Nothobranchius furzeri: one gene and its partner. The protein of the gene in region 1 purifies or fractionates together with the protein of each later gene. This does not show direct contact. Links are inferred from orthologs where the notes say so. Each region holds a gene or a part of one and is shown in the gene's direction. Other genes may lie near its edges. The genes, in order: mediator of RNA polymerase II transcription subunit 13-like and cdk8.

What was found.
Region 2: the proteins of mediator of RNA polymerase II transcription subunit 13-like (region 1) and cdk8 purify together in Homo sapiens (affinity purification with mass spectrometry; 6 studies listed by BioGRID and IntAct, counting the BioPlex papers as one, with this or other methods). This does not show direct contact. The link is inferred for Nothobranchius furzeri from reciprocal best matches to the Homo sapiens genes MED13L and CDK8.

The regions. Positions count from the first base shown.
Region 1 is NC_091746.1:54,299,394-54,304,015, reverse strand, and holds the start of mediator of RNA polymerase II transcription subunit 13-like, read left to right. Parts: upstream 1-1,755; 5' UTR 1,756-1,948; coding exon 1,949-2,020; intron 2,021-4,622. UniProt on the Homo sapiens protein: Component of the Mediator complex, a coactivator involved in the regulated transcription of nearly all RNA polymerase II-dependent genes.
Region 2 is NC_091747.1:51,006,662-51,011,036, forward strand, and holds the start of cdk8 (cyclin-dependent kinase 8), read left to right. Parts: upstream 1-1,537; 5' UTR 1,538-1,739; coding exon 1,740-1,867; intron 1,868-4,375. Other genes in the region: E3 ubiquitin-protein ligase RNF6, read right to left, coding at 169-205.

The DNA.
Region 1 (4,622 bases):
TTATGCTTTTAGTCTGGGCCTTGTTTTACTTTAATATGTTCTTTTAAATAAAAAATTGTTCATTCTCTTTTATCAGAATTTTTATTTTGTCTTTCATTAATTAATTTATTTAGTTTTTTAATACTGTACAGCTCTGTGGTCAGCTGTCATGCTGTTTTGAAACGTGCTTTATTAATAAACATAGCAAGGTATTTTAATAAACACTTTTTATTTCTGTGTTTTTATTTAATGTTTTACGTTTTCTTGTGGCGCTAACCTACATGGATTAGACTCTCTTATGAAACCCAGAATTAGCTCAGTAAATCAGGCTGACCTCTATTGTCACACCCTCTGTTTGTGAGAACAGTTACATTATGTAATCATCAGAGTGACACCATCTTGTCATAGAAAACAAACAAACAAACAAAAAATGTTCTCCACAAACACATCAGGGACACATTTGGGAAGTTGGGGACAGTGTCTCCACCGTGTCCTCCCCTCCAGCCTCACATCAGAGACATGTAATCCCACACTTTGGTCATGTGAGAACAAACTTGGCCAAACAGAAAGGCTAGTCTCTGTTGAGCGCTTCCGACCGCCATTACATTACAATGCGTGGTGGGCTGGACGATCGTGCGCAAAAAGGAAAAAAAAAAGAGGCTTCAGCGCTTCGCGTAAAACACACACACACACACACACACACACACACACACACACACACACACACACGCATTCACACCGATTCACACTGAGGGTGGCACATCCAGGCTGCGCGCACGCCCATCTAGCCGTGTAATAACGCACTCTTGTCTGACAGATAAACAATGAGGAAGGAGTCGCTGCGGTTGAGGAAATCATGCACATGCTGGAGGATTTAAACCAACAACGACCCGACCGCTTCTCGAGAGGCAGGAGCACGCGATTCGGCCGAAGCAGTCTGCAGAATGCAACATTCGCCTTGTGTTGGGATCGGCGCCAGACGAGGACGGTCACTTTTGCTTGAAGGGGAAGAAAAAACCCAGAAAACCTGTCTGATATTTTTTTCTGCAACACTGAGGCTTTTGTGGCCGTGAGAGAGGAGGTTTCGTAAGCTGAAAGGAAGGAAGGATTTTTTCAAACCTCCATCTACAGCCTGTTTTGTCGTTTTCCTGCTCGGTGGAGTGTTAGACTTTTTTCGTCTTGCCTTTGACTCATGATTCGGGGTTATTTATTGCTGGAAACCCGCTCGAGTTTCATTTTTTTGTCCACGGAGGGGAGCAGCGTGAGGAAGGAGGAGGAGGCGGAGGAAGGGGGGAAGGTTGTGTTTCTTTTTTAGCGGATCGTCTGCGGCGCGTTTGATTCAGGAGCAACAGAGGGATTAAATATTCCTGCTCGCATGCAGCAGCAGCGCCTGTTTGTGTGAGCCAGACTGGCTTACATTGTGTGAGAGAGGAGCGGTTGTGGCAAGAAAGGCGGCTATAAATAGCGCTCGAAAACTATCACAAATGGTGCATCAGCTTTGTGGAGCACACGGAATCACGTTTCCTGCGTGAAATAACCATCGTTTCCAACTTTGACGCTTATTTCACCCCCATTTTTTGAGGATTTGTGGATTTTTGCCTTTTGGATTATTTGGAAACTGATCACATTCCTTGTGTGTGTTTATGTGTGTGTGTGTGGATTGAAATGGATACTGTTTTGTTGATCAGATTTGGAATGACCTGGATTGGACCAATGTTGTGATCCCCTCTCATCACACTCACGCGCTCGGATTTATCAACATTTATTATCTTATATGTATTTTTGAAGAAAAAAAATTGGATTTAATGGATGCATCGCTGTACACATCTCTCTGAATACGCCCATTCCCGAGTCTTTTATCTTGAAGCCTGACTCTTAAGGGAACCCATCTGTCACCCCTGCTCGGTGTTGAGATACCGATGTAGGATTTCGACATGCCCTGCGCTGGCGACCCCAAAGGCGGACGATTATGACTGCAACGGCGAATTGGGTGGCTAACGGGGCAAGCCTTGAGGACTGCCATTCCAACATCTTCTCTCTGGTACGGTATGAATAAATCATGCTCAGCAGCTATAGACAAGTCATAAGACCCATGGGAGGCACGCTTAAATGTGTGTCTGCTGTACAAAGGTGAACCAATTGCTGATGTTGTTATTAGACAATCATTAACATGGGTTAGTGGTGTGGGAGACCAAAATAAAGCCACTATTACCACTAAACCTGCGGATCAACAATAGCTGCTATTTATATTTATCTTTTCCCAAATGCTCTAGTTTAGCAGCTACAAGAAGATAATTTATTGCCAAATGTCCACGCGTTTGTGAAATAGGATAACAATGCATGCTTCATTTTGCCAACTGGAAAATCGTGTCTAAAGAAAAGAAACAAAGATTTGCATCAACAAGGCACACGACGGAAGCAGCCCTTTCACAGAATCAGAGAAAAAAACACGTTTTTCACACTACATGCGGTGTCATTTTTGCACAACTCATCGCTTTTGAGGTTGAAGGAGGCAGAGCAGTGTGTTTTCACAGTTTTCCTCCTGCAATCAGCGAGTTAACTGTCTTACCACAACAGGCAGCCAAGTGGAAAGGCATGCACTGAGCTCAGGCAAGCAGGGCTGCTGAGAACCACAACAACATAGGGGTCCTGAGGGCTTTTCAGGTGATCCTGCAGGTTGTGGACCATGTTACGCCAATCGCCGCCACAAATTGTGGCACAGGGGGCTTGAGAAAGCTCCTATGAATGTTTCATTCTAGTCTCCAAGGTGAACGAGCGAGAAGAAATAGATCTTGTGTGGTTTCCCGTGCACTGACACATGCTCTCCGGTATCAGACATCTTAAATTTTCTCAGCTTGACAACAACAGAAAACAGTGATTGTGTCTCTGTCACCATCTCATCTGAGGCTATTCCCTCGTGGAAAAAAGCTTTCATTCACTCACCGAGGCTTTATTGGCCATCATGAACATCCCTTTCAAACTGAGGGTGAAAGAGACCATCCATCAGCTGGCTTGTTGAGAATATTTATGACTGGCAAGTGCTTCGGCGGTCTAACTGGCAGGGTTCCTGCAGGGTAGTCCAAATAAGCAATGACACACACACACACACACACACACACACACACACACACACACACACACACACACACACACACACACACACACACACACACACACACACACACACACACACACACACACACAATTCCTGTAAAAATGAAACAGAGATAAAGACACTAACGTGCTCATTTAAAATGCATTTGGATGTGGAAATAGGGCTGGGTTCAACGGTTAAAGAGGATTTTCTGTTAAAAGTGAGTTTATTTAAAACAGAAGCAGCTCACACCTTAGTTTTTAAACTACGATTCTCATTTCAGTCCTGTTCCTAAGTGCAGAGATAGTCTGACGTCCTACAGACGCGCTCTGGACTGACGGACTCTGCACTTCCATGCGACGTTGACTGTTTGCAAGGAAAAACTTCTCAAGGCTACTAATAAAACAGCACAGAGCACATGGCTAATTGGCATCTTTGCTGTTCTAATGTGGTTTGATATGGTTTAGCTCCTAATTCCTCTTTTCACTAGGAGAAAACTAGAAGATAATTGCATTTGTAACATAATTTCCCTCGTTAGATCATGGACACTTGTTAGAGACATTACAATCTTTATATTCTCATCATTATGGCAGTTTTTTAAATTAAAAACAAAAAAACGCTGATGGTTTTGACATTTTATTTGGGTTAGTAATTAAAAAGAGCCGCAGAATAGAAATATTTTGGATTCTAACAAACCATTAGTTGATAGGGACATATGTTAATAGGCTAATTTCTTGGGTTTGAGCTTAATAAATGATAAGAAGACAGGCTCCATGGTGGGAAATTTCCTAACCTTTTCCTGTGAGTAACAAAGGTTGTGTTGTTATAGATAAAGGTCTTCAGGCTAGCTGTTGAGCGCTCTCCTCTGACAGCCTGTTTAACAGCATTCAAGCATGCACGGACCTTGTTCCTCTCATTTGCTCACTGTTATTGCAACTCACAACAGCAAAACACACAAACAAAAACAGCTTATTAGAAAGCATAAGTGCTCATACTGTGGGACTTTAAAGGGACATGGCAGATTACTGTCGTGCACTCTGCGTGGCCAGCGTCGGATACTTGGGATGGCTGCAATCGCAGTACCCACAAAACAACTGTCTCCTGCGCTGGCGACCAACCATCTGTGACAGAAAGCAAACTAGACCCTTGTAAGTGTGAGTGTGTGCATGTGTGTGTGTAGGGGGTGCAAAAAAAGCAGAGCTGGCATGATGAAGGAGGGGGGAAAGGGCACAGAATGAGAGGAGAAACAGAGTGAGGCTTTTCAGCAGAGAAGGACTGCAGCAGAATCTGTTTTCATTTTAGGAACGTATTATGACTGATGTACATTTCCTGACTGCAAGCCTCAGCCTATTTGAGAGAAACTGAGAGTGAAAGAGTGAGCCAGAGCACGGAGGAGGAGGGGAGGGGGAATTAAGGAGGGAGAGCGTAATGAGAGAGGGGAAGGGAAGACAGACATCTTTCTGTGGACTGCGTAGGTTCCTTTAACAGTGACTCCCTGCCTGATTATGAAAGGCAAGGAGGAGACAGTTAAAGGCCTCTCAACACAGGA
Region 2 (4,375 bases), on another chromosome or scaffold:
GAAAAAAAAGAAACACATTACCATGGGGAATTATTTTATCGATCAGTTAACACACACGAAACACACAAGTTAAAGAAATCATACTCTCGTGAGACGTGACATTAAAATTTATAAGATTTAGATACCTGACAAGGCAGTTATAATATGGACGGTTGGCTCAGCTCTCACCTCTCACAACCCAAGATGGGACCAGCGGTACAAGCATTAAACCGTCCGTCTGAAACAAGCACCGCATTTTCTTAGTTCCTACAAAACAATACTGTCCAAAGAGATGTTTATTGGTTTTTTAACCAGTTTGAAAGGCAGATCAACATTATCAAAAATAATTAATTTATGCTGTATTTAAAATGAAATTGTGTACATTTTACTTTAACATTTGTTATAAGCAGGTCCTCCTAAAAATGACTGAGATCACGATCCAAGAGTAGGTCATGAAACACCAGTGGGTGTAATTTCTAGATGATCTTCATTAATCAACGTAAATCTAAGAAGAGTAGCTAATTTGTCACTATTTATTTACTATCACGGCTATTCTCTCCACACAAAAAGATAAGAGACGATGTATGAATGAGCTAGTCAAAGAATGCTGACAGTTCTGGATAAAGTAAAGAGCCTTTAAAACAGTTTTTGTTAGTAAATCCTAGAAATAAACAAACAAATAAATAAAAGAAGATCCAAACTGTGAGCCAAATGCAAATTCAAATGCATTGTAAAATGAGTTCATAGTAAGAATTCTATTGTTTCCAGTTCCCGATAATGCAATTTTCCTACTAACTATGACCAACTTCTGTACTCATTTTATCTAATCACCTCTTTAAAATGAATGGCATCTTTTCATCTATGTTTCTGTTGTTAAAACATAAATTCACAGTGATTAGTTAACAGAGATAGAAATTAGCTTTTATTGAAGACAAATACAAGTGTTGCACTGTCATTGTGAATCCATGATAAAGAGAAATCCAAAAGGGACACAGATGTCCCTCCACAAAATTGTCCTCCAACAAATTACTTTTTACCTCTTCAACTCACCGCTACTTATATGGATAAACCCTTGAAGATGTCATAAATGGGGGTTTGTTATAAATTGTCAAACACTTCCATCAATTATTGGGTATTGACAACTTACTGAATTAAATAGGCCCAATTTTCTTATTTGCTTAAAATTTAAAAGATGGATATTTTGTTTCTTATTTACAAAATCTAATTGAAGGGCTTTTTTAACCAATAAAAACGCTTTTTGGTGGTTTCCTGTCTGTAACACGACACTAAAATAAAAAAACGCTGTTTTCACAATGTAAATGCGTTACTGATGAGGTTCTAGACACGTATTTCAACGTGGTTGGGTCTGCTTATCCCATGTTTCCATCCTCTTTTCTCCGCTGCAGGACCGTCTTTACGACGTTTTACGACAGTGCTGTCGTTGCCGACTATGTACGTCTCTTTGGAGCAGATACCGGCTGGGGGGAAACGCAGCAACAACAGAAAGAAATAAACAATTGAGCTAGTTTCCACTAGGACTACCTCCAAGCGTCGCGTACCCCTCTTCGGAACATTCAATTTGACCCGAAAACTCGACACGTAAGCTGGGTTGAAAGAGGAAAGAGCCACGCTGGGTAAGGCAACTATCTGAAATACCAACCCGAGCTCGGTGGAGGAGCCCAGCTGCCTCCCAAGCGACGCTTTAAAAGAAGAAGAAGAATAAGGACGGCGCTTAGACATTTACCCAAACCGAGGTGAAAATGGACTATGATTTTAAAGTGAAGCTAACTGGAGAACGAGAGCGTGTCGAGGACCTGTTTGAGTACGAAGGATGCAAAGTGGGAAGAGGCACTTACGGTCATGTGTATAAGGCGAAGAGAAAAGATGGGTGAGTTGAAGTGCAGCAGGCCTTCAGCAGTCAGCCTCCCTCCCTCAGATTAACACATTTAAACCGCTTCCTCACGTTTTCTGGCACAAAGGCCCTGTTCTGTAGCTTTAGCACCGTCTTCTCTTTATTATGGGATGTCTTTATTTCTGCAACACGACTGTAGCGCATATTTATACTGTTTTTGGTGTCGGTCTTTTATATATTTTTACAAATGAATATTCATTAGATGGAGTTTGAATATATCTAATTTTATCATATGCAAGTGAGAAAACTCCTGCAGAAATTAACATTTGCGCCAAAACAATGTTTATTTGTGGAAATACTAATAAAAGTGATGATCAAATATACTTGAAAATTAAAAACAAAATGATTCAGTAGCAGAACATAAAGTGAGATTATTTTTAATTATTTAAATTATAACAAATCTGTTAAATATATATGCTATTAACTTCAGTTTAAGTAGCTCTCATTATTGCTGCTGTTAATGTTTATTTTAATTATTTGATACTGTATTATTATTATTGGGAAGCCATATGTTTTTGAGATAATAGAAATGTTACACGCCGTATAAAATTAAGCTGTTTTGTTCAATGAATGTTTTTACTGCAAAGTAAAAAAAATCACGTTTTTTTGGCTTGTGTGCTGGATTAAACAGAATATTTCATATTTGTTTATTTAAGGATCCCCATTAGTCTTCACAATAGTGAAAACTATTCTTCCTGGGGTCCACTTGATAAAAGAAACAAAAAGAAAATGCATACAATATCACATAGACAGTGTAGGATTAAAAGTACAATATTTCATATACAATGTAAGAAAAACACAAACTCCTATAATCAACCTCATAAAACAAAATCATAAAAAAGCACTAAAAAGTCAATTTAAAAATGGATCAATGAATCAATAAAACAATAAAGTGTCAGGGTGTTAATTCTATAAATCTAAAATCTATTAATCTGATTGAAATAGCTGTAACTGTTGTCTGATATAAGCTTATGTTTTACAAATTTCTTGAGATTCACTTTAAACGCATCATGAACATTTATTGTTATTAGTTCAGGAGGCAGGATATTCCAGCATGTGACTGCTCTGTAAATGACTGTTCCTTTAAGTGCATTGGTTCTTGGCAATGGAAGAGTAAAGATAAATGAGAGGCATTCCTTGTGTTAAAACCATGCCGCTCACAGGTTGGTAACAACTTTGTAAACAAGCTGAAAGGTTTATGTAAAACCCAGATTTTGTGTAACGACACAACCAGGCTGCAGGCCGGTCTGTCATTTACACTCATCCATGACAGATTAAAATACATCCAGTGGATATTAGTTTTAAAAGGGCAACCAAGAACCAACCTCGCAGCTCTGTTCTGAGCTCTCTGAAGCTTGTCAAGGTCTGTCTTTGCTGCACTGGACCAAACAACTGAACAGTAATCCAGATGAGACAAAACCAGAGACTGTACAACAAGTTTTCTGGTCTCCAGTAACATATACTGAGCATTGCTCCTAATTACATAAATGCTCCTACTCATTCTCTTTACAATATTATCAATATGTGTAGTCCATGACATTGATTGATCCAATGTTATGCCCAGTAGTTTGGTCTCTTTTGCTTGTTCAGTTTGTTGTCCCCATAAATAAATGTCTAACTGGTGGGTTTTTCTTACCAAATTCCTAGAGCCTAATAGCATACACTTGGTTTTTAATACATTCAATTTTAGCTTATTTCCCTCTACCCGCTCAGAGATAGACTTTAACTCCTGTTGAAGCATAACATTGACCTGAACTAAACTTGAAGCTGAAACAGATATGGTCGTATCATCCGCATATAGAGTCATGTGCGCTTCACTGCATGCAAAAGTCATATCATTTACAAATATACTGTATAATAAAGGACCCAAGCAACTTCCTTGGGGAATCCCACACAAAAGAGTGCCAGTGTTTGACCGACTACCATTAAATATAACACATTGTTTTCTATTAGTCAAGTAGCTACTCATAAAATTGATAGCAGTCTTGTTAAAACCATACGCTGATAGTTTCAAAAGTTAAATGTCATGATCCTCAATATCAAATGCAGCACTAAAATCCAGAAGCACTGCTCCCACCAGCAGCTTCCTATCAATCTGTCCCAACCATTCATCAGTAAGAGTAGTCTGTGCCGTACTGGTAGAAAATCCTTCTCTGTAAGCATGTTGAACATCAGTGTAAATGCCATTCACCCTAAAATAATGTTGAATCTGTTTAAACATCACTCCCTCCATCAATTTTCCCAGAACTGGTAAGATAATGATCATATAGAATATTTATATCAGAAGAAGCTAAAGCTCTTTTATTTGATGCCGTATTTTGTGTTTTATGACAAATTTGCCCCAATATGTTGTGACTTTTAAAAATTTGTGACGGAAAAGTGGCCTGAAATCAAAAGCGAGGAGAAAATGCAACAGTGGCATTTTTGGTTTCAGGGTTCAGCTGTTAAAACGTTGCTGGCATCGCCTTACTTTCTAAAACGTTC